4 linked regions of the Schizosaccharomyces pombe genome follow. The gene in region 1 interacts genetically with each later gene. Each region holds a gene or a part of one and is shown on either strand. Other genes may lie near its edges.

Region 1 (10,047 bases):
AGCATTAGACAATTAATAAATCGTTTTTTCTTAAGCCATTCGCCAGTTTTGCATTTCCGTCATATCCATATGACGAGCCATTTTTTGTAAGACCGTTTGGCGCAGCCATTGTTCACGGACAACAAAATCATAACGTTTTTGATTCAAAAATTGAGGACAACCACGTCTAAGCTGCAAATCGGTTTCACCATGAATATCTAAGTACGGAGTGGGCATGATAGTGCCTGTATTACTGATCGAGTCTAACAACAAAATCCCACATGCTTTGGTGATGAAAAAGATGCCGACACTACCGGTGCACGTAGCGGCATGCTTGTTGCATTCCCCAGTTAGTCTCCTACTGGAAACCGTATTCTGTCGAGCATTAAAACAGATGACACTGCCACATAACATACAAATTGCAGGAAGGATTGGAGTTTTATGGCACATACAGCAAACTGATTCTTGCATCGAATCAATTAAATTTTCTAGCCTGTGAGGTAATTTGACAAGCTCATATATGCCAGGATATTCCAAAGATATAGTACTATCACCCCATGTATTTTGAGCTAAGTGTTCACACCAGCCAGCGATTAATTCCAAAATCTGATTATTTTCATCAGAAGACATTTGAGAATACAGTTCTTGTAAAGGAGGAACTTTTATTAATTTGGAAAGCCTTTCTAATTCACTGTCATCTTCATTGTTGGAGAATTCATTGAACTCGAGTGAAATGTCAAACATGCAATATAATACCAAAGCAACTCGTCGGAGAAACGGTAAAGAATACTTCTCCACCAAAGACATTAAACGAAGTAAATTAGACTCATCATCCAAAATTTCAATGTTATTTGAAGAACCACACCAAAGCAGTACATTCTTGCATAGAATATAAAATTGGGACTTGGATTGCTGACTATAATTAATGGTTAAATCAGGAACGACCGATGAATCTGCAACCACTTTTATCATAGAAATTATTGTCTTGCAAATTTCTGAAAGATAGAAAAGCTTAACGTAATACAAAATATTATCTTGTTTACCAAAGATTAGCATTAAAGATGAAATTTTCACAAAGTCATCGAAAGTATTTGAAAGCAAAAACGGTTGAATTTGATCATGGTCAGACATCCGGCCATTTCTCAACATGGACTTTAATTGCGAGTGACGATAGAAAATTTTACAAACTAACAGTTTTTGGCTCTCCATTAACAAGAGGGCTTGTTGGTCAGATTTTATGATCTGATCACAAACACACTTCAAAACGGTATCAGATAAAGTCGGCAAAAACGATAATGTTAGGGGTCCCAGTTCATTGAACCACACCGATCGAGTTGCTCCACTTTGTTTCGGAGAGCACCTCTGACTAACTTCTAGAGAAGAAACGGTATAGGCCAAACTGTTCAGTAAATCATGAGGTGAAACATTCGTAAATGTACTTCCTTTAACCAATTTCATAGCCAATTTTGTTGTTTCACAATATCGATCATAAAGGTCGGATACGTCCCGATTATTACTTTGATCAATTAATGCACCATCGGCTATCTTTAAGCGAGCAAGCATTGCCGAGATAATTTTGCTGTTTATCCAAGGTCTCAGGAAACAGCTTCTAAAAGTATCTTTCGTGTCGGACAGAGAACTTCGAACTAATTGATATTCAAAGCTCGAGGAAGACATAGTACCGATTTCCTCTAACCAACCATTCATGCTACGAGGGAAATTAAGGGTGTCAATGTTGAGACACATTTTGGGGATCTGAGGCATAGGCAATAACACATTCGACAATGACCTACAGAGAGGACACATAAAAAATTTAGCAGTAGAATACTTGTAATAGTATTCACTTAACCCAGCGGTAACATCATTTCTATACATGGACCTAGCAACGTAATAGTTTTTAAAACAACCTAAATGCATGAGATGACCACAACCGGAGACAAAAACACCTCTTATGTTATTTCCTGGGGGATAAGCACTTAATAAACGATCTTTTGAACGGTTGAAAACAACTGTATCATATTTTTTTCCAAATGGCCTCGAATGAGATTCCCTATCTAAATTAGGGGGAACACTATAAATTTCATCCAAAATGATTTCGCTGTGAACATCTGTTTTTCGAAGTAATGAGCTTCCTTGAATAATGCCGATCACTCCATATGGTGCTTGATCGTTGCATTCCTCTTGGCAAAGCAAACAATTACCACGGATATGTTCATGGTACTTAACTTCCTCCTCTGGCTCTTCTGTTGTAACTTCATCTTCCGTTTGATCTTCTCCGATATCGAAATCGGTATTTTGGGCAAGAAAAGATGCTTGCTGATCGCGAAACTGCTGCATAATTTTCTTCTGTTTCTCTAAAGCTAATCTTTTCTTTTCCTGCGTTTTCTCAATCTCGTTAGAATCCGAAGTAGAAGAGGTAGTTGAGAGTTCAAAGTGTGTAGCTTCCAGCATGTTGCTATATGCAGATGGATCATTCTTTTGTAAGCCAGCCAATACAGCATTAACTTTTACATGAACATCTTTGTATTTAGGAGACTTGAGAATTGCAAAACAAAGTTCCGCTAAGCAGTACGCACTGCCACCAAATTCTCTCATAATACTACTATCAGTCGGATAACGCTCAGCGCATGAACGGGAGCAGAAGTCATTTGATTTCGAGAATTCATGAATTTTCATAGAGATTAGACACAACTGAAGTGCATCGCCCAGAATAGTATTTCCAATATCGGATGATCCAAAGGACTCCGCTTGAACAAGTGCATACTCAATCGCACGAAAAATGATAAGACTAAAAGTGCTCGCATTGACGGCTGCAAAAAATATATCATGGCCGTCCTTCTCAAGAAATCTAATTTTTGGTTCTATTATAATCGACTCAGCACTTACATTATTTTTCTTCGCCAAACGTTTTTTAAGGATAGTATCTGACTCCTCTCGTTCATTTTTATTATAATGAAAATAATATGGATCCACCAAATCATAATATTCGTCCTTCAAACTGTAAACGCCAAAATCGTGGAGACCGTCAGGTGCTTTGTAGGAAGTTACTTCTTCTCGAATTTTATCAAATGACAAACTCTCTACTAAATTACTTGAAATAGTAGACAGCAATGCAGAATAAGCAAGAGGACCAAAGCATAGCTGTTGAGCTAATCGAGTGCGAATAATATCTTGGATATCAACATGTAAAATTTGTTCGCGCTCTGTTATAAGGGCAATTAATAACTCTAACATTTTACACAACATAGCTGGTATTCTTTCCGTGTCGTAATTGGGATGTTCATTATAAGTCAAATTATAAAGCCAATCAGTAAATTCAAATCTTTGAACAACTGCATTTAAAACCAAGTTTGGATCAACAAACATTAATATTGTTTGAATAGCGAGGATGTCCTTATCATAAGAAACTTCGATGTTATTAAGTTGACGATAGAAAGCGTCAGTTAATAAAATACTACGCCCATTTCTTATCCAAAGGTTACAATCAATTTGAGCTAAAAGCACACAAACCCTCAAAGGATGGTCAAGAAGAGCAAGTAGTGTATCCTTATCCCAATGAGAAGAAGCGTCAACACGACAATATGAAAATAAATTGGAAAGCATCCAGTGAAGAGGATGATAAAAACTTATAGGATCCCTCGACACGGAAAACGGAACTAAGGGCTGTGTAAAATTTGTCAAAGATGAAGAGGGAATACAAGAGAGAGGTTCGAGAGACTCTGCAATGTCTAATTTAGGGTGGGTGATGGAAGTTATGATACATTTTATAGCATAAAACAACCGTTCATATGGTGCTTGTGTAAAACAAGATGAAACAGTGTTACTGAGCATAGCTACCCTTTGCATTACAAACAATATATTTTTCCCATGAGGAAAATCCCACTGTACGTGACTGAGTATTGCCCGTTGTTGTGGAATCACACCTTGGAACACCCGTAACAAATCAATATACTGATGAACATAACGCGTATCATCCACTACAAGCTTTTTGACTTGCGGATGTTGAAGTAAGTATCCGAGATCACTAAACAAATTGTAAGTCCTTCGGGTTTTTAAGACTTGTCGGTTTAGCTGAATTGTGGGAGTGTATTCAATGTCTGAAGAAAAAAGGGTTGACGGCCGGTTAGACTGCGTTAGTAAGCTTAAAGTTGTTGCGTTTAAATTAGTTAAAAAATCATAGTCTTTCACAACGGCTTCTGCAAGACTAGGAGTAGTGAAAAATTGAACGGAAAGAAACATGACAGAGTGGTCTGGCTCTCTATCTGCAAAAAGAAACGCTGTAGCGAGAGACCTATAATGGATTACGAAACGTATACCCATAAGACGCTTAAATAGAAGATTTCTATTAAAAGGAACAACATACAATTTTGAGAGCAGCCCTCTTAACCGTTTCCAAAATTTGAGATCAAACAGCAAAAAGTAATCTAAACGAAGAATGGAAGATGGAGATTCAACGAAGCTATATGACGAAGGAGGAATTGGATGAGGACTTTTCCAATAATCCTCACGAAGAGATACTTGACAAACCGCAGCAGGGCGGGGTCTACGACGAGCGTTTATGATTTGTCGAAGGTTATTAAGGAGTTGAGAGTTAAACTCCGGGCGAATAGTAACGACATCCTGAGTTGCAGTAGTGGGAATAGGTACAGGAGTATGCGTCTGAGGATTATAATCTACATTTTCAGTGTTTTGTGATTCATCAGTTTCGTTTTGACTTTCGGTTTCCATTGAAATATCTTGAACATCGTCTTGACGAGTGTTTCGGTTTACACCAGGATAATCAGCCTCAGCAGCTTCATTTTCTTCTGTCTCCATAACTTCATCAGTTAAATCATCAATATCCTCTCGTTCTGTTTCAAAATCCAGAAGGTCATTTACGTCGTTATCATCATCAAGTGGATGATCAAATCCTGCAATAGTAGGATCGGTCATATCCGCTTCAAAATCTTCATCACCACCCAAATTAGCAATTCTAGTTACACCTGTTTCATCTTGAAGGTTTGCGATAACATCGAGAAGTTCTTCTGCGGCATAAATATCATCCTCGCTATCATCGTCATTAACAATCTCCAGAGGAAGGTTATTAAAATTCACCTCAGGCTTAGCAGGTTTTTCAAGGCCAGGAGACCAGTTCTTCAAAATTTCATCGCAAACGATAATTTGTAAATAATCAGCAAAATAGCAAACATGTGATTCTAGAAGATCATCGAACCATTCTAATAGAATACCACAAATATCTTCGCGAAAAAAATCGCGGGCAGTACGAACATTAACAGCTAAGTTTTCTTTTGAAATAGCGTTCGCGATTCTTATTGCTTCGTGAACTGAAGCCGATGTAGCAACAGCAAAGCGGCCAATAGAATCAACACGTTGAGCGACTTCAAGTCCAAAAGCCGTATTTGACGAATCTAACGCCTCAAGCACACTACCTACAACAGCGTCAAAGGTATGCACTTCGTCGTTCCAAAGCATTACACGGAAAACGTTGCAAGGCCTATCAGCTACACCATACTTTGCGCTGCTAAGACGAGAGGCCTCCTCATCTGCTAAGATGCTACCGACAGTAGATTGAGCTTTAAGATTCACGGGGGAACAAGAAAAGACATCGAGAATGAAGTCAAGAAGAATATGAATAGTTGTACGGATAGAGTGTTGAAGTTCTAGTGGGATCACTTCTTCTGGCTTTTTCTGCTCCTCGTCATCGGGGACATTATGTATCTTGCAGTTAAGGTCGACATTCCATGCCTCAGGATCGCCACAGTCGCAGATTCCACTATAAGAGGTTGAAATAGATACATGAGTCTCGTGACCCTCGTGGTTTGTGGCATGAAAGCAAGGAGCACAAAGAACACATGTGTTATCTAGCCCACAGTTCTTGCAACGATATATCACCTCGCCGGCACGAAATACGTGGCCACAAACCTTGGACCCAGAACGTTTATCTTGTAATTCTTGGGCGCATTCGGGTTCAGAGTGCTGAAGCCTCGAGAGACGAAAGTCAGAAGTAATGGCACCTGGCTTTTCTTTGAGAAAATATTTCCAATTGTCTTCGTTGTAATTCAGCAACGACAGGAAAACCTCTTGCAGCAAGTGCGTTTTTGATTCTTCATTTGAATCGTATGCATGCTTTTCCGCGCTTTCTAGAAGGTATTTTTGTAACCTAGAAGCCGATGGTTGCGAAAGAGGAGCCGGCGGGTCGTGCAATTGCATGAAATTATAGGAAAGGTTCTGTGAAGTAGATCTTGGGCCGCAAAGTTTTCTTCAATAATTAAATTGGTTTAAAAAAGCTATTTAATAAACAACAGGCACGCTAAAGCCACGGAATATACAAATTTTCATCAACAGAAAATTGGGGAAGTAATTGAAACAGCATTCAGTTGAATAAAGCAAACTCCAATCCTCCTTTACCTTCTTTAAACTTTTCTGTTGAAACAAATTTCTCTAAAAATATTTTTGGCAGCTATAAACCGTTCCTTCTTAATATTTCTGATTTGTATACCTAAATGGCGAGTTACTTCTTGCCATTGCCAAAAATCCATTTATACTACTTTCAGGTAACATCGTCACCTTTCTTGTATCAGTAGCCAATTGAAGATACCAAAAAATGACACCAGCTTGATAAATTCATCAGCTGTAGTCAACTCTTTAAAGCCATTTACTTTCAATTCAATTTCCTATTTCCTTCTTCTTAATATGTGTTAATATGTGTTGATTGCTTTTTTTCGTTTCGATCTAGTGGGCTTGATTTCATCCTTTGCCAGATAGGAATCACCATCATATGAGTTGGAAAGTAAGAGATATGCACCCTAGAGTAATCCAGCTCGAGATTCTTAAACTATTTATCCTTTTTAATCTAATTAAAATTTTTTCCTTTGGGTGATAATTTTCCATCGAGTTTGAATTACCCAAACTTCTCAATTATCTAACACCCCAAGATTTCAAAGTAAATATTGTTATCGCAGTGCATAGTAGATTTTAATGAGCGCTTGAATACTTCGGGCCCATGGAAATCATATCAAGGTTAAACAGTAGCATGCGCACACTATATTTTACTATACTATACTATAATACTTTAAGTAGGGCCAAAAGTTGATGGCTTGAAAAATGGGTTAAATGTTGAAAAAGGCTTTAAAATAATAGATAACCTTAAAGAAATAAATATTACTTCATGGGAATAGTTTATTTAAATTTCATTAGTTTTCCAGCAGTATTGTTAGCAAATAAAAGCAATTGCTCTTACATTGTTGCCGAGCACGGAGGCTAAATTCGACTCTTTCCAACTAATTAAGTTGGCACATGACGGGAATAGTTAGTGTGTTTAAAATAAATTTAGCAACAATTATTGCTGATCTTTCTTTAGGGAAAAAGGAAAAAAGTGTCACAAACCGGGATCGAACCGATGACCAACAGATCTTCAGTCTGTCATGCTCCCAACTACACCATTGCGACTGTTGTCGGCTTTCTTGAATTAGTAATATGTAATATGTTGTTTAGAAAGTGGTAAGTTAGTGTGCTTTTCTTATATTTACAATGTCAAGTGTTTCTTAAGCACATAAGTAGTATAATATTGAAACATAAAATAGCAAGTATAATACAGTTACTTTATTTTCTCTGGAACAAAGATGGCGATCGGGTAGTGAGATTTACAGAATAAGACAACATTATACCAGATACAAGCTGGAAAGAAATCACTTAATAAATTGTAAAGGCAAGACCAATATTGAAAGTATGATGAATGCCAGAAAATGAATGTCGTTCATATTAGCTTGACTGAATCATAGCAAAAATGGAATAGGTATTAATATCCGAGTTCTCCTCATTTTCTGCTTCCAATACCTAGTTTCTCATACAAAGTGGTTCAGGGTATTGACCACTATATGACTACGCTTTATAGTGCAACAATCAAAGCTTTTTTAATTGAATAGGTGCAGCTATCGCTTACTTTTATCTTGCTACACTTTGTCCAACTTTGAATATCTCTGCTAAACGTTTGTCATTAAGGTTAATCAAACGACTTTTATCATTCGAGTATGTTGTTACACTACCCTAGTTTCTTCTGCTAATAAATTATCAATCGTACGTTAGATGTAGCCAAGCGAGAAATCGCTACTTAGTGTTGCAAGCAAAGATGCATACAATGCAAATGCGCAAAGCCGCATCAGTAGTATAAATTGAATAAATAACAAACAGCATTTATACATGGATTTATCAGCCTTGGATATTGAATTTAATTATTTCCTCAAAAACCTAGGATAATGTAAAAATAAAGGGACCAGCCGGATTTGAACCAGCGACCTGGGGATCTGCAATCCCTCACTCTAACCACTGAGCTATGACCCCTTTCTGACATTTCAGTAATTCCTAATGTTATTTAACGGTTTTAACAACGAATAATAATATATAATTGAAGTTTGAGTACAATTTATTTATGAATATTTATTTTTGGAAGTACGAATCGTTTTTAGCAATTAAACTTGCAGTTGTATATATATATTTGTTTAATGATAAGAAGCTGTTCTTTTTTTTTGTAGTATTCAGTGTATTATGGAGATCGTATTCGCACGTGTCATAAAAAAAAATTTACTATTATAAACTTTTTTTTTTTTTTTTTTTTTTTTTAAAAAAATAAAATACGCATATACCTTCTATTTAAATAAAACTACGTAAAATAACTTAGTTTGAATATTTTTTTTTTCGAATTCGCGTGCCTATTTTAGTATTGGTATAGGTAAAATCGAAAAGAAAGTGTGGTATTAACAAACATGATGAATATTCATTCCTTTGTATGCAACATAAATAAATTGCGATTAAATTGGTTAAAGATGAATAAATTATTTATTGTTCTTGTGAATATTTAGTATCGTGTAGCATCAGGGAAAGGCGAAATTCGCATTATAATCATAATAATATTGGCGTCTAATACACTATTACTATAGAAGAATTGGTATTGCTATTTACTCGTATACTTTTGACTATTCACATGGTATATATTCTTTCATTTTATCTAAATTTATATGAGAGTTTATTATCCTAGAAATTCAGCTAACATTTGATTATCAAGAAACACAACCTAATTACAGGTAATGACAGAGAGCCTGATATTTTCGTAAACCAACATTTAGCGTAGTAAATTGGTTGACTGGAAGATTTATTCCCTTCAATCCGGTTCAAGTGAAAAATTCAATCATATTTAAGAGGGATTCATTCGGTGCAACAGTATTTTCATCAACCGGTAATAAATCATATATTGTCTGAAAAGTTTCAAATCTTCTTTGTGCAATATCTTTGTTTTTATGCGTTCCACTAAAAGCATCCAAAATCAGCGCATTCCAAAATAAAGGACTTTTGTCAAATTGCGGCTGCATAGATTTTTGAAGGTACTCAACTGCCTTAGCAAGATTTTCAGAGACTAGTTCATGAAAGCTAAATTATGATTAGTTGATTGATGTCGATACTTAGTACATACCGATGCAAGTGTAACTGGAGAGACACATTAGATAGACAATGCTTTATCCCCCAACGATCTAGAATATCTAGTTTCCAGAAATCTGAAAGCTTCATTGGTCTCAAAGGATGCGTACTTGCATTTCCACCCATTAAATATATAATGTTTCTATTCAAATCAGCCGCGACTGCGTGTCCAAACCTTTTAAAATTAAGCGTCAGATGATTTACCTTTTTCCCAAAGACATACCTGGAACAAGGATGTTCATTTCCTTCTTCTTCATTAATATCACTTATTTTAACCCATTCCTCTGTCGTTATGTAAAATATCCATAAACTTGGTCGAAGGACTTTGTGAATGTTTCGCTGTTCAAAACCAAACATAGTGAAAATGCGATGGTTTTTCGAATCCATAATACTCCTTTGACAAAATGAAGGACTTGGACTTTGGGATGTATCGTTTTTCCTAACATGCTGCACAGCTTCTCTTGTTTCTAACTTAATATAACACATGTCTAAGATGAATTCTTGATCATAGCTTTGACCACCGAAAATATAAAGTTTGTTCTCATCAGGAAAATATTCCATGCAATGACCCATCCTTTCAATCTTAAACTCACAGTG
Region 2 (6,934 bases), 3.4 Mb from region 1:
ATCTGCTGAGCTGATTGTGAGCTTGCGACTAAGCCAAATTTTGCTCGACATACTACTTCAACAATAGAATACAAAACAGCGGAAGATATGCGACCATAGGATATAATACAATTTAATAACGAAAAAACTAATGCAATGTCTTCTTCATCGGTGGTGCTTTTTGAGACCCACACACAATTCGCTAGCATAGAAGAAACCTCCATTTCATCAAATAAATTAAAGCCCACCCTGAACATATTCGTAAGCAAGAGAATTATCTGACGAAAACAACGGGTGTAATTTCTCAATTCAGCACTTCCTTTGAAGGATTTTCTCGACTGAGCTCGCATATCATCAATAATCGTAAATAAATCAGTCAACCATTCAGACAAAACTTTAAGTATGTCATTTGAAAAAGACTCAGTTCTTTCGCCTTGGGATGTAATAACAATCAAGGCGTCTACAGTAGCAGGATAGTATTCAGAATTCGGAACCTTTGACAGCTCGTTGAATAATAGTGCACGGTCATCGGAAGACATTTCTTTATGCTTTTCAGCTGCATGAGTCCATAAGGAAATAGTGGCTGCCAGTATGTTTCCGTGAACTTTATTTTCAATAATGTCTTTAGTGGAATCAACAAGTTTTTGTAGGATTACATTTTTACAAAACTGCTCATTGTTGATGAGCCTTTTTATGCGTTTGTAGCGTTTATCCAATGACTGTTGATTCGATATTTGGGTGAGAATCGTGTCTATATCCAAAGCCTTCATAGCTTAGATATAAATCGATGCAGCAAACAACGACAATTTTTCTTTAACCCAAACGTAATATAGGTCCTGGGTTGGCACCGATTTAAGTATTAAGATTTTAAATATATTTAAAAAGTGCTAAATTAAAGATTTAATGAAGTAAACCCAAATTATAGACTGCTTAAGCCGTGGAGGATTATTATAAACTCCTGAAAAGATAGCCTTAAGAAACGTGCAGATATCGAACTGTAACGGATTGTAAAAGCACACCTCAATATAGCATCGATTAGGATTTATTCAATTTCTATGTTTTAGTCAATAAAATCGAAACAATGAGTCTTCTTCGCGTTGAAGAAGTCAGAAGATGGTTAATACATACATAATTTTAGCGAGTATATGATAAATCTGTTGGTGAATTTCGGAGTCAAGGTGGAGATATGCAAATTACTAAATACAAGAATAACCATTTAAAAAATGTTTAATCAACCACATGTATTTCAAGAATCTACATTGAAAAGTATTAAGTATTATCTCAAGTTATGCAACATTTATCATAGAACTAAAATTAAAAATTAAGGAATTTTTTATTAATTGTTTATTTTTTAAATAAAAAGTGTCTCAGTTAATTTATGAGAGAAGCCATTCTCCAAAATTAGTGACATTAAAAAACTGAGTGATGATTTGTCTATTGTGACCGTAAGTAAAGGAAATAATATTGCAAAAAAAATATGATACAAATTAAGGAAATATACCAGTGTAGTAATAGAGTTTACAAAATTTAGTTTGTAAACTTTGTAACCAAAAATCAATGCGGTTAACTATTTCCGAGAGCAAATAGTTATATGTAAACAGGAACAAAAATTCAAGGAGATGCAGGGTCAATTGACCATATGCGAGCACGTAAATCACCACTTCCCGAAGCAAATTGCCTACCATCTGGGCTAAAGCATACGGAAATAACTGAATTCTTGTGTCCTTGACAAGTGAGATAAGATTGGCCTGTTTGCAAATCCCAGAATTGCATACTTCTATCCTTCGATCCGCTTAATCCCCAACGGCTGTCGGGTGAAACAGCTACTGAAAGAACAAAATCAGTATGTCCTGTATAGGTGGCTTTGCAAATACCTTCAGGCTTAATAGCTGAAAGGCCAACTGAACGAGTTGCTTGTAATTCCCAGACTTTGATAGTCTTATCAAGACTTCCACTAAGAAGAATGCTGCTGTCGGGCGAAAAGGCAATAGAATAAACACTCTCCTTATGACCTTCCAATCGTTCAACCAAAGTACCCGACACAGACCATACTCGAATTATCTGATCTAGACTACCAACTGCAATGAATTGATCATTTGGAGAGATGGCTATTGCCGTCACACCATTCTCAATTTCTAACTTTAAAATACATTGACCTGTCTCCACATCCCAGAGTCGTGCAGTTCGATCGCCACTACCAGAGACGATGAATCGCCCATTATGGCTAAAATCTAAGGAATAGATATCTTGTTCATGACCTGAAAATACGTAACGAACTTTTTGAGTTGAGAGATCCCAGAGTTTTATTTGACGATCTTCTGTTCCCGTGACTAAATACTTACCATCAGGGCTGAAAGCAATGGTTCTCACATACAAATCACGGGAAGGATCAGGTGATTCTTCATGCAAAGTAAAAAGTTTTTTGCCAGTCTGAACATCAAAGACATTAGCGGCCTGGTTACAGCCAGTTGCTAAATACTTGCCATTGTTACTAAACTTAACGCAGCAAACAACACTGGGATGCTCTAGTGTGTGCACGAGATTAATATTAAAAACCCTTTTGCATGCTGGGTTATAAGTGACGTACCAACTCTGAGAAGTTGTCTTTCTAGCAGCTTCTGTATCTGAAACTGGAGCAATCTGTTCTCTTCCCTGATATTCTCCATCAGGACCCGCTTGGGATATAGAACCAGCATTCGCAGAAGCAGTCATAGAAGGTTCAGCCGAAGGAGTTGCTTTGGTAGGAATACGCGGTGGCTGGACATTCACAGCAGGTTTTGAAGTAGCACTTGGATTATAATAATTGGAAACACCAGGCAATTGAGGATTTGGTTGTTGAGAAACCTGATTTGCTCCGTAATTAACAGGAGGGATATATAAAGGTGTAGTACTAGGTAAATTGGATGTAGATATCGCGGGATTTTGAGAAGCAATTCCCTGATTAAAATTTTGCCCGCTAGAAGCCTCTACTGAAGGAGGAATTGGAGGCATCAATACTTCAGCAACATTATTTTGAGGATAAGCTGATTGGTGAATTGGAGGGATTTGCTGAAAGGCAGGTAGATGGTTACTTGGAGGCTGAGAAGTAGATTTGGTTTGAGAGGGATGTTCCTGATCAATATGGGTAACTTGATTATTAGAAGCGGCAAGTTCAGATCTTTCTCCACGATTTCTATAACTTGCGGTATTCGCTTCGACACCTAATTCTTCAAGCTCTCGCTTCAACTTGTTGATATCTTTTTCGTACCTATAAATGTTAGTAAATTGGTGAAGACAGATGTTATAAAGGTTTTTTTTTTTTTACTTCAAGCATATAAATCTCGAGCGACACGTATGCTATTATAAAATAATGATGAATTTCACAGAAAAGAAGTAGATACTATATAATCCCTCGATACCTTTAACATATAAAAACTTACGTTTCTCTAATAGATTTTTGTTTTTCATACATATCATCCACGGTTTTTCGGAACGCTTCAATTTCTTGAATTTGAGATTGTATCACTGCAATAGAACAGAATGTTAGTTTCCAAAAAATAGCTAATTTAATTTATTTTATTCAAACACGTACTAGAAGATTCATAGTCGTTTCCGCGCGCCTTGGACGCGAAGCTATGATGAGCCAAAGCATTGTATTCAGCCTTCAACGCATCCAGCATTTCTTGAACTTTCGTGGCATCCTCCACTGACGCCATTTTTTTTTTCAGTCAGACTTATTGCAAAAACTGAATCCGATTGATATACGCCCTTTTACAACAATAGCAACACTTGAATTGTGGTACAAGAATAAACTTGTGTTCTTGAACGTTTGTAGCAGCACTTTTATCGAGCGGCTCCTTGTGCTGCGCTAATCTTTAAATAGAGAATGTGGTGCTACATATTTTTGGTTGAGCAAGTATCACAAAATTAGTATGGCGTGTGTGTTGGCAACTTGTCCCAATTATTTTGAAATTCATTTGAATTATAGAGAAAAGCAATTCGAAACCCTTTACTGTTTGATTTTTTGTAGCGTTTATATTATTTTTTTGAATATAGATTTTCTTGCTTTTCAGTTGATGTTTGTTATAAAAAAATAGTTATAACTTTGAAACGTAGTGTAATTCATTTTTTTTTTATTGATGGAAAAATTTGTTAACCGTTTTTATATATCAATATAAAAAAATTAAAATTTGTGTTTAATCAATTTATTATCTGATCCTTGTTTAATTAGATTGTTTACCGACCTTTGTAAGACATTATTACAGTGAGTTTTATCTTGATAAGTATTAATTAAAAGTTATGATAGTATTTAACCCGTAAATTCACATTTCATTTGCTAATGACTCAGTTAATCATAAGTGACATTATTTGTTTAATGATGCGAAATTTGACGCACTTTACTGATATTAAAACATTGTTGGTTGTCTTAAAGATGCTTTTTTCATATAATCTAGTTATCATGAAGAAGGATGAAAAAATCCCATAGTTGAAATTTATTAACACTAAAGCAAAATGTTTAAGCGCAGCAAACCGAAGCCGTCAGAAATTGAGCATTTAATCTGACACGATATGCCATTTACACTTCAAGGGCGATTAATAAATACACTTTGGATTTATTTTTAAATCATATTTATTGCTTATTTACTTATCAATTTTTGTTTGATGTACTATTTAAGTTGTTTTGAATTTTTTTTTTATATGACATTAGTTTGGGATTACTACCCAGTTTAATCAGTTTAATGATACAGGAGGAAAGCAAGATTAAAAAAGGGACGGACAACGTTCATTGCATATCTTGTTATTGCTTGTCAGTTTACGGCCCTCAGCGTTTGTTAAGCTACACTAACTATTTACTTGTAACTTGATAAATTTTGGTATGCTGGTGGTAATACGAGTAGGGGCCAGACATAAAGCAATGCGACAATTAATGATATGTTGCATAGTGGGGCATAATGTAGTGTAACAGCTGACGCTATATATCATCGAGATGTTTTTACTTACGTTTTACAAACTATTTCACTAAAAAGTTTCCGTATAGTTTTATCAGCAATTTGTTAATATTGATATCAATACATATATATATATATATATAAGTCTATTTATACATCGATAACTCTACTAGTCCCATTGTCAATGCTAGTGAATATACTTGTTTTCCGACAGAAATGACTCGTACTCGTGTACAAAAAATGATACCGAAAACCATTGAATACCAAAAAATGATATCTGGTCAACCGTAAGGCTAATGCTTAAAACTTGTCGAGCTAATATATCATCTTCGTTGACATGTTTGAAGTCACATTGAACGCAGGGAGATATTCTAATTACTAAATAACAGGTACAAGGCTTACGACGAGGAGTTGACTCAAGCGAGATGTAATGCTAAAAAATTAATGCGAAGGTTTAATGACACTATGGGAGATTTGGAAAATGTAGGCCCAGCAGAATTGATTAAAAGACGAGCTGAACTGTTGGCTGAAGTTTTTGTATTTGACGAATCTTCAGCACCAGAGATTGAGCCACCTATGGCTTTTGATTACGGATTTAACGTTCATTTTGGAAAAAAATTCTTTGCAAATTATAATTGTACATTTCTAGATGTTGCCATAATTACTATTGGTAATAATGTAATGCTAGGCCCCAATGTATGTTTATATATATATATAGTTACTTTCAAGTCATTCATTCAAAAAATAAATATACTAATGGTGTCTTTCCAGGTTCAACTATGTACAGCAACACATCCCTTGGATTTTAAAGCAAGGAACTCCGGAATTGAATTTGGTTTACCAATTAACGTATGCGTTAGTCCAGTTATTGAAACATCTTACAACTAACAAACAAAATTTTATCAAGATTCAGGACAATGTTTGGATTGGTATGGGAGTTATAGTTCTCCCAGGTGTTACTATCGGGGAAGGCAGTGTAATTGGAGCGGGTGCTGTTGTTACAAAAGACATCCCACCTAATACGTTGGCTGTAGGATCACCTGCCAAACCTATTCGTAAAATTGAAAACGAGTGAACGAGTGTAATTTTTTTTTTTATTATTTCATCTAACGATTAAATGCTCTTTGAACTTCTTAAGTTCACCTGGCTTGGTTCCTAAATTTTTAAAATAGTATAAATAATATTATATTATGTTTGAGCTTTAAATTGTTATATAGAAGACTTAGAATGCTAAAAGAAATCCATTTCTCACTCGCCAAGTAGGATCAGTTTCCTCCTATGACTTGCTAAAGCCCCCACGTGGTACTGCAATCGATTTTAATTCTAATGCTTAGCCAAGTCTAAAATAGTTGAAATTCTTAGTGGGATAAGAACTCTTAACCCCCACGATATATTTGAATGCTAAATAACCTAACCTAAAACCATTTTACACATTTTATTACTAACTTCATTATATTCTTGTAGAGGAACCATCCCATTCACCAGTTCTGAAGTCTCGACAACGAAAATTCATAAAATATGGCGCCTGCAGAACTTAAACGACCTGATTTAATCGTTCCCTACAAAGCTAGAGTCAAAGCAAATGAAGAAGGTAAAGTAGAAAGCACTTTCAAATTGAACCCAATCGTGAGTTACGCTGATTTAATCGCTCAAGCTTTAGTTCATTGTGGAATATTTTAAATCCTTTCTTTCGTCAAATAATTTATTAAGTTTGCTAACCCTATTATAGTTGGCTTGAGTTTGGTAAGCACAGCCACGTGTATGGCTGCTTTATTTCTTCGTTTCAAGTATGTAAGATATTTTAGGATTTTCATGTTAACGAGAAGATTAATTGCATGGGTTGCTTTTATCCTAACCTTTTCAAATTTACTGAACGCAAATACGTCTCCCAGCTCATCTCCGACTTCAATGGCTTTGTAAGTAATCCTAATTCATTGCATTAATGTAGTTCTATGGATGTTAACATTTGATCAGTATGGGTATCGCGGCTCTTGTGTCAACATATTTACCGGTAAGTTGAATTTTTA
Region 3 (6,354 bases), 480 kb from region 1:
AACTGTACTTGAACACGTACTAGCTGCAGAGTTTTATCTTCATCTCGTGAAGCCTTAACCATCTCGTTTAGATAAACCCAATCACAACAAAACGGGTTACCTATTTCTGAAAAATTATCTCCGAATTTTTGATAATTTACGCGTTTGGCAGGTGGACGTCTTTTCCAGCTATCTTCATTTCGTTTTTTTCTTTCCTCTTCGCAAAGTTGCCCACTAATCGTATCTGGATAATCAATCGGAAAGAAAGGCATTCTTTTTTCAAACGCAATTTGGTGCAAATTTTCTAATCCGCCAAAACGTATTCCTTTTTGATACATCATCTTCCTCCATACAAACTTGGCATAATCCCAAGGCAAAATAACAGTGAGTCCGTTCCATTCTTTTCTATACGTAATATACACGGGTATAACTTCTTTTTCAGAAGATTTTTTCTCATGAGTATGTCTATTTTTATTCTCAAAAACTGCAAAAGAGGGTATTTCCTGTCTCTCCCAATACCTAAAATGAGTGCTATATTGGTTTGCAGATGCTGGTAAACTGTTTTCAGCAGAATCTAATAAGCTTTTTTCTCCCTTTTCGGATAAATTTTTATCGCAACGAGTATTAACTAATGCTTTCACAGATATCGAGGCGCCCATGGGTAAGCATGCGCTTGAATAATTGGAAATCGACTGCCAAACTTTTCCTGCTTCATCTAATTCAACGTCGTCAAATACTTTGTGGAGCATAATGTTGCTATCGGGTCCGTGAATATCAAAAGATGCTAGATCTAGTCGCCAATCGTGCATAGCAATGCGATCATCCAAAACAGCTATACCAGATAAGTAATTCCATGCTTGTAGAAATGCAGATGGATGTAAACGTATAACTAACTGCACACATTCGGTAGGATTTTTTACAGGGATCTGTTTTTTGTCATCTTCTGTAGGGTTATTCCATTGTAGAAAACAAGGGCATATGAGCTCGTGTATGTCAGACTTCACGAGGTAAGATGTAAATGATCTAGAAGAATTCAGAAATACAGGAGGCAGTCCGTTTGCAAAAGAATTTCCAAACTTTTCTTTGAGAGCTTCGTATGGCCCGCTAATGCAAAACAATGGTTCATAAGACATGTCGAATGCAATTGCATCTTTCCGAAAAGCTGCTCGATGGGTAGGACGATAGGATTTCTCAGTCGGTTTTTCGGGAATGGCATATCCCCAAGCATTTATCATGTGTGCGCGTTTGCATACCCATAAATGAGTGGGAAGCCATACCTTCCGAAGTTGACGACCAGCAAATTTTCCACGTATTAACTTGACGGCAGCCAAGGACGGAATTCGCGAATCATCTGTAGAATTGTCTGTAACCAAGCTTCCCGTACTGTCAATTGCTTTGGTTTCACCTGATTTAGCTAACTTTCTTCGCAAGCGTTTGATGAATCTCTTTAACCGTTGTCTGGAAGGTGCAATGGGCAAAGTAGATGAGGAACTGAGTTGCATTTCATATAAAGCTCTATCCCTTAAACCTTTAGGTATCCTTTTTATATTATGAGAAGCTGCTCTTCTTCGTAAACATCGAGGAAGAGCTTGGAAAGCACGCTGAGCGCTGGATTCTTTTGATCTTTTCATAGCATCTTGTAAAGCCGTTATTTCAAAACTCCTTGATTCAATGAATTTTTTTAAGTCTACAGCACCATTTGAAAGGGCAGGTGATTCAACCTCTATGAATCTAGCATCAGCGAGCTTTGACCTTTTGACGTTTAGTCCCTTTGGTTGCGTTCCTCCAGTTGAACGCTTCATTTCATAAAATTAGATAAAGTGGGGGACGGTTTTTGTAGCAGCCTTAATTAGGAAGTTAATATTATACAGTGGAACTTGTTTGTTGCATGGATTGATAAATTACTCAAGCGCGTACGAAAATACCATAAAAATGATTTTTTCTATTTGATTTCTTTTATTTATTAGGTTTGAGCAAACGAATCTGCAAATATTGTTTTGAATTTAGAAAAAAAAATGTAGGTGCTTGATTTGGCAAGTTGACAACGCAAGTTGAAAAGTTGTAAGAATCCACCAACGAGTTGAATTAAGTCGTTGCAAGGAGTTCCTTGAAGAACAATTTGAATGAATATAAAAGGAATAGATGTATCATTTGATGCTCAAAAAAAAGAAATCTTAGAAGGCTTGAAATCCTCCGTACCTGATGCATCACCCAAAGGACACCCAGATAGCCCAATATTTCCATTGCTAGATGTTATAAACTCCCACCCGGATTGGGTAACAACTAGTTCATGTTCAGGAAGAATTTCAGTCTATGTACAAGGAGCAAATTCCAGAAAAGGAGGTGGATACTGGCTTTTCGTTAGTCATCAGGCACATGAAGAACTACCACCGGTTTTAGAAGATGAAAAAGTGGAATACGGAAAGGTTCCCAGTTCTCCGGTAGAAGGAAATCGGGAAATACAATACGCTTTTGAACCCATGATTCTGCATGTTCAAACGAGAAGTTTAGCGAATGCTCAGCATTTGCAAAGAGTAGCAGCAAGCTGCGGTTTTCGGGAAACAGGAATTCAAGGTAGTGAGCAGAAGTTTATTGTGGCTATTAGAACAAGTTTACGAATGGATATTCCTATAGGATGTCTTACAGCATCCGAAAAGCTTCAGTTTTACATTACTCGTGAATACATGTGCTTCCTTTTCAAGAGAAGCGTTGAGTATTTTACTGAAAATGGAAATCGAATGGCTAGACTGAAAGAGCAACTGGAGAGACAGGTAGAGAAAAGGATGAAACCAAGGCGGAAATTAAGGAATATGGACGATTATTTGGTGCAATCGTAAATAACTAACAAGTATAAAGTTTTTTGTATAAAAAGATAGTCCCTGTCTAATAATAATAAGAGTATGGTAATAAACAATCATAACGAAGCATGACTTTCTGGAGCAGTTAGGTGTGATACAAGTATATTAACCCAACGTTTGTTGTCTAATAAAGATAGTTCAAGTCTGTGATCTCTTTTCCAGTTTTCATCAGAATACTGATATATCCTTGATTTGACCACTCTAGTGGATTCTGAAGAGCAAACAAGGGTAGCTTGAATGACTTTCGGAATTTGAATGACAAGATGTGTACAAGAAAGATTGGCAGATATGTTTGTCCCATCAATTGTCAAAGACTTATTGATTTGTAAAAGTGCGTTTTTACGACAGATATATGCGGTCAATAATTTATCTACTTTCCACAAAAATATTCTAAACCTTTCAGGGTTCTTTCCAGTCAAATACTCGTCAGCCCATTCTTGTATGTTCAGAAAGCTTGGAATCGTATATTTATATAAAGCAAACGAGTCGTGAAATACTCGAAAAATTATATAATAGGGAACATCAAATCTATTTCCACCTTCTAGTTCTTCGTCCATGCCAGAGGCGGAAGATATTGGATTCTCTGAGAGATTCGTAAAGCCTATATTTACTGGATTCAACATGATATCGAACCGGACACCAAGAAGCGGTATAGAAGGAGCAGTCTCAATGGCTCCTGTCTTTTTATTTTTTACGAGAAGGGTCTTTCTAGATAACTCCTCAGGATCATTGGGTTGGAAAAAGGAAATACCAGAAAGTCGATCATAATGCAGTGCAGGTTGATTTAACGGAGTCTCTTTCAGAAATTCATTGTTTACAGATAAATTTTTGGACAACTCGGGCTTCTGAACGAGATCGGACAGTGTCGCATTATCTAAAGACTTTAATTCATCAAGCAATACATCCCTTCTGGCTTCAAGGACGGAAATTTCATCGATGAGTGTCGCATTGCCTTCTTCATCGTCCATGGCAGCAAAAAAAATTCATGGAACTAAAAAAACTGTAGTTTCAACAGTTTCTTAGGGCCTTATTGATAACATGAACCAAGCATAGAAATTCAGTTACGCTTAGACTCGTCCACGTATGTCAAAGCGTCGAAATACACAGCAGCTTTTATAATTTAATCACTGTAGCATTTCAGAGTTTCGAACTGGAATAGTATTTTAGACGAGATTTGTAATTAGATCAAAATTAGAGATTGGTAGGTTTGAAGATGTAATGGATAGGAAAAAATGAAGATTGCAAATCTATTTGCAACGAAACGAAAAATTATGCAATATTTTTAACTGTTTGATAATATGTAAATTAAATATTTTCTTAATGAGTTACAATAACAAAGAAATGTATAGAAAGCAAAGTCGGACAAGTTGTATATAACTATATAAAATTGAAGATAATTAAATCGCCAGTTTAAAAAAAAAAATTAAAATTAAAATCTAGGAAAGAAAACAGAATGGTTATTTACAAGAACAAAGAAATTTAACTTATAAAATATATAGAATTAAATTGACATAATCCAGGAAATGAGAATTATTTTGAAGAAAAAATAATGACATTTAACAAAATGACATTAAAAAAAAAGAAAAATAAATTAGTAAAGAAAAAAAATGAAGGTAGTTTTCCTTCTTATATAAATGATTTTAAAATCATTACATTTTATAACTCACCAATTAGTGCATCCCTATTAACAATTCTTTTATTAAAGCTCTTCACGTACAATCCCTTAAAACATTCATATTGCATTAAGAAAGCAACAAAATTGTATATTTAATATTAGATTATGAGCGCGCAAGTGCTATACATTGTAGCAGTTTTAAGGATCGTTGAATGTACATGGGGTTTTGATTTGACAAAAGCCAAGTTTGTGTTAAATGAATGCAAAGGGAGAATGTATTATTCAATGTTAAATAATATAATGTGAACTTTTAAGTGGTATTTGTTTACAATGAGCTAGAACAAACATGATAAATTACATTCTTTAATTACAGTATATATAGTTTAAATTAATGAAGCAAATGTCTACGGCCATACCTAGGCGAAAACACCAGTTCCCGTCCGATCACTGCAGTTAAGCGTCTGAGGGCCTCGTTAGTACTATGGTTGGAGACAACATGGGAATCCGGGGTGCTGTAGGCTTTTTGCTTTTTTGTAGAAAACTAAATTTTTTTTAGTTCATTTATTTTCTTTTACATTCTTTTTTATAAAATCAGTTTGGCATCTATAAAACAGGCAATTGTTATATAGTATATTTCATAGTGTCGAGTTGATTTTTGCTGTCATGTCTTTGATACAATTGAGAAAATGAAAATTTAATAGAAAAGTCTTTGTAATACAAAGAAAATCAATTCATCCAGACTGTAAAACTGGGTTCAAGCGACATTGGGCTTACAGTTTGTAAAACACTAAAAATCGGCGATATTCAATAAAAAATCTACAATTTCCAAAATAGCGGTGAGTTAAAGTGATTACTAAAAAGAAAATAAAACCCAATGAAATAAATTTGAATGAAGTAAGGTAGATTTTTTTTTTATTATTATTTATTTTATTTATTTATTTTTCTCTTCTATAGTAGGGATTGCTTAGATGAGCTTTAGTTCTGGGCATACAAGGCATACGAGTGTAAACACAAATTACCACTGCTGACTGAAAAACGGAAAAGTCCATAAACAACGATCAAAAGTCAAACAGAAACAAAAATTATTGATGTTCGTCTTTCGACTCTCATCACTGCTATTTTTCCTACTATTCGACTTTCGGTTTATAAACACTGTATATACTCGTTTACTACCAACCCTATTATTCCTCTGCTACAATATTGCTACTCATATACCATGATCTAACGCGTGTCACTATGCACCTTTATCGTATTTTAGCGCATTGAATTAGCGCTTGTTTTTTTGGGTCACACTTATCAATGCATCGGGGAGTCCCCCACTCCCCCCACTTACGATAGGCCAGGGTTTCACTATCATAGTCCATGCCACGTTCCAATCACCTTACAGTGAAACCGCCCGATCACAAGCTTAGTATTAGGCAATATTCAGCGATTCATTAAATGGGTTTAAAGAGAAGTAACGAGGCTGTATTAGGATGAAAATTCCGCCATATTTATGCCATTCATCTTTCCCATTCGAAGTATCATATTCAAAGGCGAATTCCTTCTCTCCTAACTAGATTTTTTCTGTAAATTTACGACTGAAAGCTCTTCCCTTTACAGTCCTCCTTCATTGTATCCTCCTTACCCTTGCCAATCCTTACAGCGAGTTCGGCTGCACTAGGCCCCCCTACTGCACCTTATCATATATGCACCATCACCACCGTGTGATGATTGGATATCTCGCACCTTCAATTCGCTCTATGCAGATAAGGACCGAGGGTGATGAAAAAGCAACGATATAGAGACGAGATAAGGACAGGTTGACCAGATAACGATTTTATATAAAGAAGGGTTTTGCCTACAAGCCTCTGTTTACAGAACTCACTTAAGCAGTTTGAAAACTTGCTAAAGTATTATTTT
Region 4 (7,054 bases), on another chromosome or scaffold:
ATTTTTTAAGACATGAAGGCTACTTGGGGGTGTTTGGAGCGTTCATGAAGTATGCGACCTCTCAGCCCAGCAACGTTCCTGTTCCCTCAATATCGTAGAGCTTCAATGAATAGCAGCACATAATGACTAGAACAAACAAAATAACTTTTGATAAATAAAAAAGGTACGACAGGTCACGCTATAACTAGTAAACAACCATTAAGTTACACGTTATTACATTATTAAAGTATTCCGTAAGAGATGGACTCTATATCTGATCTGAGGATGTCCGTCCGTCATTCTCGCCTACACGGACACGAGACATTTCAATGATATGATAGTAAGATAGGATGGATAGAGAAGGAAAGAAGAAGTCGGAAGAGACAGAGCAAGGGGTTAAGCAAATTTGCCCAACACAATACGCGGTCGTTGGAGTTTATCTATAGATTTAACGAATGTTCGATAAAAACAAGGGTCGGAATAAAAAATGACGAGAAGAGAAAATTAAGTGATATGACATTTTATCAACGGAAATAGGAAATACATATGGGTGATATGCAGGTACCCGAATATCAAAGAAGGAAACAGTAACCTATGTTTGAAAGAAGACAATTCGTAAATGAAACCCTTCCTTACTTATCATTAAACTAGCGATACTTGTTGGACTTCATAATGCGCGTCTCTATAGACGTTTGTTACTTTAAAAAATCTATTAGCAGAAGGATCAATTGATAAGACGAGAACGACTTGATGTTAAGTAGGCGCAAAGAAAACAAGCATTATGGACGGCTCAATGAAATAAATAATTAACATGCAAAAAATATAGAAAAATGCAATGTTCAGTTTATAGCACTTAGTAACAAGTGTTGCGAATTTTTTCCAACTAGTAGGTAAACATGCATTGTTAACTCTATGAAAACACTGGAAACATTGGTTCCGTGAAACTTTCGACGGAATCAAAGGGGGAAAAGGTTTTTAACGTGAAAAGTATAGTTCAAATTACATGACGAAGAGGTGTGGTAGATAAGTTTTAGAGAGCGAAAAAAAAAAAAAAAAACCAAAAAACCAAAAAGAGGTCAAATTTTTTTTTTCCTTTTCTCTCCTCTCTCCTTTTCAATTGATAAGGAATGGGCATAGAAACAAAAAGCAATTTGTTTAAAAGTTCATAAATTCAAAGGAGAAACATCTGCCAAAGTAGTATCAACTTGTGCACCGACGACGAGATAGAAAAGTCAAGTCAGAATCAGCAATGCTAGAAGCATAGATATCGATGTGACATTGCATACTCCTTCGTTATTGGGGATTTATTTACTAATGCTATCAAACTCAAGTTTCTTCAAAGTTATCATGAACTTACTATAAGAAATCTGATTCTGTGATAGAAGATATCGTTTGGAATTTAGGGTATACTATCTGTTGCTAATTTGCATACTTTTTGAAGTCTTGTGCCTCGCCTTACACAACCATCTCGTTTGCTTGACGGAGGGTAGGGTATCGCTGCATAACGAGTTGGACCATTTCTTACTAGGCTTTCCCGATACTTTCAGCAATCTTGCAGCATTATGGTTTCATTTGGCAAAATGAGGGAAAATGGGTGCGAAAAATTGCTCATACACCAACAAGTCCGTTTTGGAGTGTGATATGTTCATTTCCGTGACAGTTATACCCACTACTATTAATGCTATCACTATTCTTCCTTTCTTACTTTACTTTACCTTACCTACTTGTTGTCGTCCCTCATCATCTTTGCGACAATTCATGTGGGGGTAGGCGAACTAGTCGCTTTTACTATCTCTGCCACCCACGATGTTTACCGGGTTCGAGGTTCTTAAAGAGAAGACCTTGTTTCCTCGTGCACACACCGTGCTACAGCAGACCACTCACCATTCGCATACATAGTTTTACCTTGGTGAATCGCCAGCGCTAATCGCGGAATACCCGGGGAAGGAAACAAGAGAGAAGAGACACGCGAACGTGGTGTAAAGGCCGATGTCGAGAAGAAGGAATGAATTCAACGGTTAAATAAATAAATAAAAACAACAATGTAACACTCATCAAACGATTACATAAATTTAATAAATATGCAAAGTATTAAGAATCTAACAAATATGTAATTATTATTAATGAGCAAACTACAAGTAAGCAATGAATACAACTCAACCCTCAAACCTCTAAAATTATTGAAAAACTTCGTTCACCTGTATGTCGTCGTGAGAGAATAAGAAACGTAGAGGATGTGTTTGTAAATAACAATATGTATGACAATACATAGACAGTCATCTCTTTTCTACCTTTTCCCTCATCCTCATCCATACTCATATAGTAACACTTATACCTTTTACTCTCACTTTCACATATACTAACTATATTGTCTCACATTCTTTCTATACCTCTCCTCACTCTCATTCTCACTCCTGTAGTGAAACTTCTATTTTTGGCACTATAACGTGCTACTCGTTTTTTCCATATGCTCTGCACGTTGTGCTCTTGACCATTTAATTCCATGCACCCCACTTGGTACCCAATTTCATCCCCACTTTTTCGGTCAAGTACGACTTTCCACTTCAACCATGCGATGTGGTGGCACAAAAGTCCTAAATGGAGGTACACGAGTTTTTTCTATCGTTAAGCAAAAACACGCAACTGAACAAGTGCGCAATCCTTCCGCATGATAGTGGAGTAGATGAAAAAAACGGCATCACACGAAGAAATCCAAGCTTATCTATTTCCAGCGGATTTACCAATTTTCACCCCTTTTTCCAACAGGTCACACGTTGTGCGATATGGTTACTCCTCGTGCATTTTTAATCAAATAGATATTCCGCACTAACGTTTTTGTCCGAAATAACATTTGATTTATCCAATCAACCATCAAACCCACCTTTCACGCATTGACCTTAATTATTAAAAATGTGCAGTCTAGACCGGTCCTCCCTCTTTTTTGATTTATCTGTAGGGAAGATAATAAACTTTTTCATACCACGTTTCCTACATTTACGATTTGTCTATCGCCTATCGTGCTTTGCTCACCGTCATTGATAAAGGCGTGCATGAACACGTGGTGACTGCTAAATCAGTGTGGACAAATTTCATTTTCAGCAGTATTTATACTTGAAAATTATCCCCTCAAAAGACATCCTTCGTCGTGCCGTCTAGTCTGTGTTTTAGAAGTAAGAGAAATTCAAAAACCTTGAGTGGAAACTCCTCATCGTTCGTATAATTAATCGTTTGACCTCTTTTGTTTGGAGTTGTGACTTTCTCCACACTTTCACATACATACACTTTTAATTTCCAAGTATTTATTTAATACATTAAGGAAAAATTTTTTCATTCTAAAAATTTTTCTTTTTTTATTATTATTGTCATAAATACTTATTTGTTGTTGTGTATATTTAATCTTGTTTTAAATACCCTTTCTCACTCTCACTCACTTTCATATTTCTTACTCTTAGTTGAGTTAGTCGGCCTTCGATACACATATAAAAGTGTTTATTTTAACTTTTTTGTGAATTCACTTGTCAATTTTGTGTAATTAGTTTGACTAATTATTATTATTATTATTTTTGATCTATTCTTTTTTTTATCTTTTGTACTACAATTGTTTTTTAATCTTTCGCTTGTTTACGTTATTTTTCTCTTCCTCTTTTTTTTTTTTTAATATTCGCCTCTTTTGTTTTCTCGTTTCATTGTAATTATTTTATACCCAAAAATTGTTCTTGAAACTTCTGTTCATTCTCTTTTTTATTATTATTTTTGATTTTCATACGATCGATTTCCTACATTCAATTTACCTGTGTTTACAATGAGTAGCATTGAAGAACAAATTACGAAATCGGACTCCGATTTCATCATTTCAGAAGATCAATCCTACTTAAGCAAGGAGAAAAAGGCTGATGGTTCTGCCACCATCAACACCGCTGACGAACAATCCTCCACCGATGAACTCCAAAAATCCATGTCCACCGGCGTCCTCGTCAATGGTGACTTATACCCTTCTCCTACCGAAGAAGAATTAGCCACCCTTCCTCGTGTTTGCGGTACTATTCCTTGGAAAGCCTTTATTATCATTATTGTCGAGCTTTGCGAACGTTTCGCTTACTATGGTCTCACTGTTCCCTTTCAAAATTATATGCAATTCGGTCCTAAGGATGCTACTCCAGGTGCCCTTAATTTAGGCGAAAGCGGTGCTGACGGTCTTTCTAATTTCTTCACATTTTGGTGTTATGTCACCCCGGTTGGCGCTGCACTTATTGCTGATCAATTCCTTGGTAGGTACAATACCATTGTTTGCTCTGCTGTCATTTACTTTATTGGTATCTTGATTCTTACATGTACTGCTATTCCTTCTGTCATTGATGCCGGAAAAAGTATGGGTGGGTTTGTCGTCTCTTTGATCATCATTGGTCTTGGAACCGGTGGTATCAAATCCAATGTTTCCCCCTTGATGGCTGAACAGCTTCCAAAAATTCCTCCTTATGTAAAGACCAAGAAAAATGGTAGCAAGGTCATTGTTGACCCCGTCGTCACCACCTCTCGTGCCTATATGATTTTCTACTGGTCAATTAACGTCGGTTCTCTCTCCGTATTAGCCACCACTAGTTTGGAAAGTACTAAAGGTTTTGTTTACGCATACTTGCTTCCCTTGTGCGTCTTTGTTATCCCCTTAATTATTTTGGCTGTTAGTAAGCGCTTTTACAAGCACACTCCTCCCTCCGGTTCCATCTTTGTTCGTGTTGGTCAAGTGTTCTTCCTTGCTGCTCAAAACAAATTTAATCTCGAAAAAACTAAACCATCTTGCACTACTACTGTTGGACGCGTTACGCTCAAGGATCAGTGGGATGACTTGTTTATCGACGAATTGAAACGTGCCTTACGCGCCTGCAAAACTTTTCTCTTTTACCCTATCTATTGGGTATGCTATGGTCAAATGACCAACAACTTAATTTCTCAAGCTGGACAAATGCAAACGGGTAATGTCTCTAACGATCTTTTCCAAGCCTTCGATTCAATCGCCTTGATTATTTTCATTCCCATTTGTGACAATATCATCTATCCATTATTGCGTAAGTATAACATCCCTTTCAAACCCATCCTTCGTATTACTTTAGGGTTTATGTTTGCTACTGCTTCCATGATTTACGCTGCTGTTTTACAAGCAAAGATTTATCAAAGAGGCCCTTGCTATGCAAATTTTACTGATACATGTGTTTCCAATGACATCAGTGTTTGGATCCAAATCCCTGCTTACGTTTTGATTGCTTTCTCTGAAATTTTTGCCAGTATTACTGGTTTAGAATTTGCATTTACCAAGGCCCCTCCTTCAATGAAATCCATTATTACTGCTTTGTTCTTGTTCACCAATGCATTCGGTGCCATTCTATCTATTTGCATTTCTTCTACTGCTGTCAATCCTAAGCTTACTTGGATGTACACTGGTATTGCCGTCACTGCCTTTATTGCTGGTATTATGTTTTGGGTTTGCTTCCACCACTATGATGCTATGGAAGATGAACAAAATCAACTTGAGTTCAAGCGTAATGATGCGTTAACGAAGAAGGACGTTGAAAAGGAAGTTCATGATAGTTATAGCATGGCAGATGAGTCCCAATACAATTTGGAAAAAGCAACTGCTGAAGAGGAAATCATGAAAAGCACATAATACTTAATTTAACTTAATTCGTATTTGCGGGATGCCAATTTTTCTTTTCTTTTTTTTTTTACAAAATTTCCCAAAAAATTGGGGTTTGCATGTTTTGTTTCCATCTTTTTTTTTGTTATGATGCCGTTGTTCTACTGATGCTCCTTATTTAAATGCAGTAGTACTTATCCACTCTCAGAAAATAGAGTTTTACAGTGGGTCTATATACCAGAATTTACTACAGTGTGATTTAATGAAAATATATATTGCTGTGCATAATTTAAAATATTAAAGAAAGTATCAAATATGTTGAAAATAAGAAATTCTTTAGCGGTAAACAAAACTGTATGTGTTGAGACAAGAAACTGTTTTTTAGTAGAACCGACGTGAGATTAGTCCAATAATCAACTTTTCTAAGCGTTTGCGAATTAAGCTAGCTCACTTAACCAACCTGATGACAAAAGTTTTTGATGAAAACTAATTCGGAAAATGTCAAACAAAATTTTTAAGGTGAAAAACTGAAAATTATATAAAGCAAACGAACGACTAGATCTAGTTTGGAGTTGACTAAAAATTAGACATGGGATATCAAAACTTCCAAGCAATAACGAATGACTAACAAACGGAAGTCAAACTATACATGACAACGCATTTAATAATATAAAAGACTGGCTAGTAAACAAATACGAGGATAACAAAGTGTAAGCTATTTTGAGTTTTGAAGAAGTTTGGAACAAATAGCTTGAACACTAGTTTTGCCATGACTGATGAGATAGTTTTGTAAATCTTCAACAAGTTGCACTTGCTGAGTGGTCGTGAGGCTATAAACTGCTGTATCCAATAAATCAGCAACAGATGTACTCTTTTCTGCAATAAATGATTGGAAATACATATAAACGAAGACTCCATTTAAAAACTGGCAATCCATTCTGTCAGTTAAACCACCATGCCCCGGGATGGAAGCTCCAAAATCCTTAATTTTAAAAGCACGCTTAAGACCACTAGCAAAGAATCCTCCGAAAGGGGCAATTAAACTCGAAAAGGTAGCGAAGATAGCCAAATGGAAATATATAGGAGCAAGAGTAATTGTTTCAGGAAGTCTAAAGGTATCGACAAAAACAGCTGGAATAGTATAAGTGTGAGGAAGAAATACAGAATTTGGAGTGCAATTGAGACCACTGAAAGCAGAAGTAGATAAGTCACGAGTGGGACAGATAAAATATTTGAAGTGCATTAAAACATAGCTGATAAGAGAACCAATAACTACAGTACAAATCCATCCTCCTAAAAAACCTTCGACAGTCTTCTTGGGGGAAACTTGAATAAGCGGATGCTTGCCAAACATCTTACCACACAAATACGCGAAAACATCGTTGCATACAACGTAGCAAACAGGGACAAAGAACCAAAATAAACCTTCAAACAGATTGTTAATCA

Evidence for each region.
Region 2: of ubr11 (region 1) and tup11, extra expression of one rescues a mutant of the other (dosage rescue), as found in Schizosaccharomyces pombe (one study listed by BioGRID).
Region 3: of ubr11 (region 1) and mal2, a mutation in one rescues a mutant of the other (synthetic rescue), as found in Schizosaccharomyces pombe (one study listed by BioGRID).
Region 4: of ubr11 (region 1) and ptr2, extra expression of one rescues a mutant of the other (dosage rescue), as found in Schizosaccharomyces pombe (one study listed by BioGRID).

The regions. Positions count from the first base shown.
Region 1 is NC_003424.3:3,698,937-3,708,983, reverse strand, and holds the start of ubr11 (ubiquitin-protein ligase E3 Ubr11), read right to left. Parts: upstream 6,493-10,047; 5' UTR 6,190-6,492; coding exon 31-6,189; 3' UTR 1-30. Other genes in the region: mde6 (muskelin), read right to left, coding at 9,147-9,402, 9,446-9,625, 9,674-10,047.
Region 2 is NC_003424.3:298,038-304,971, forward strand, and holds tup11 (transcriptional corepressor Tup11), read right to left. Parts: upstream 3,760-6,934; 5' UTR 3,675-3,759; coding exon 3,551-3,674; intron 3,484-3,550; coding exon 3,399-3,483; intron 3,375-3,398; exon of another isoform or gene 3,227-3,374; coding exon 1,591-3,226; 3' UTR 1,241-1,590; downstream 1-1,240. Other genes in the region: SPOM_SPAC18B11.11 (GTPase-activating protein), read right to left, coding at 1-749; SPOM_SPAC18B11.09C (serine O-acetyltransferase activity), read left to right, coding at 5,124-5,194, 5,297-5,603, 5,679-5,756, 5,815-5,982; protein pat10, read left to right, coding at 6,426-6,498, 6,637-6,694, 6,734-6,823, 6,882-6,918.
Region 3 is NC_003424.3:4,182,974-4,189,327, reverse strand, and holds mal2 (kinetochore protein mal2), read right to left. Parts: upstream 4,047-6,354; 5' UTR 3,806-4,046; coding exon 2,894-3,805; 3' UTR 2,817-2,893; coding exon of another isoform or gene 2,103-2,816; 3' UTR 1,912-2,102; downstream 1-1,911. Other genes in the region: pop100 (Rnase P/MRP subunit), read right to left, coding at 1-1,781; wybutosine biosynthesis protein Tyw3, read left to right, coding at 2,103-2,816. UniProt on the Schizosaccharomyces pombe protein: Component of the kinetochore, a multiprotein complex that assembles on centromeric DNA and attaches chromosomes to spindle microtubules, mediating chromosome segregation and sister chromatid segregation during meiosis and mitosis.
Region 4 is NC_003423.3:3,404,420-3,411,473, reverse strand, and holds ptr2 (PTR family peptide transporter), read left to right. Parts: upstream 1-3,114; 5' UTR 3,115-3,781; coding exon 3,782-5,638; 3' UTR 5,639-5,899; downstream 5,900-7,054. Other genes in the region: ptk1 (Fbl-like pantothenate kinase), read left to right, coding at 1-98; bbl1 (phosphatidate cytidylyltransferase), read right to left, coding at 6,324-7,054. UniProt on the Schizosaccharomyces pombe protein: Uptake of small peptides.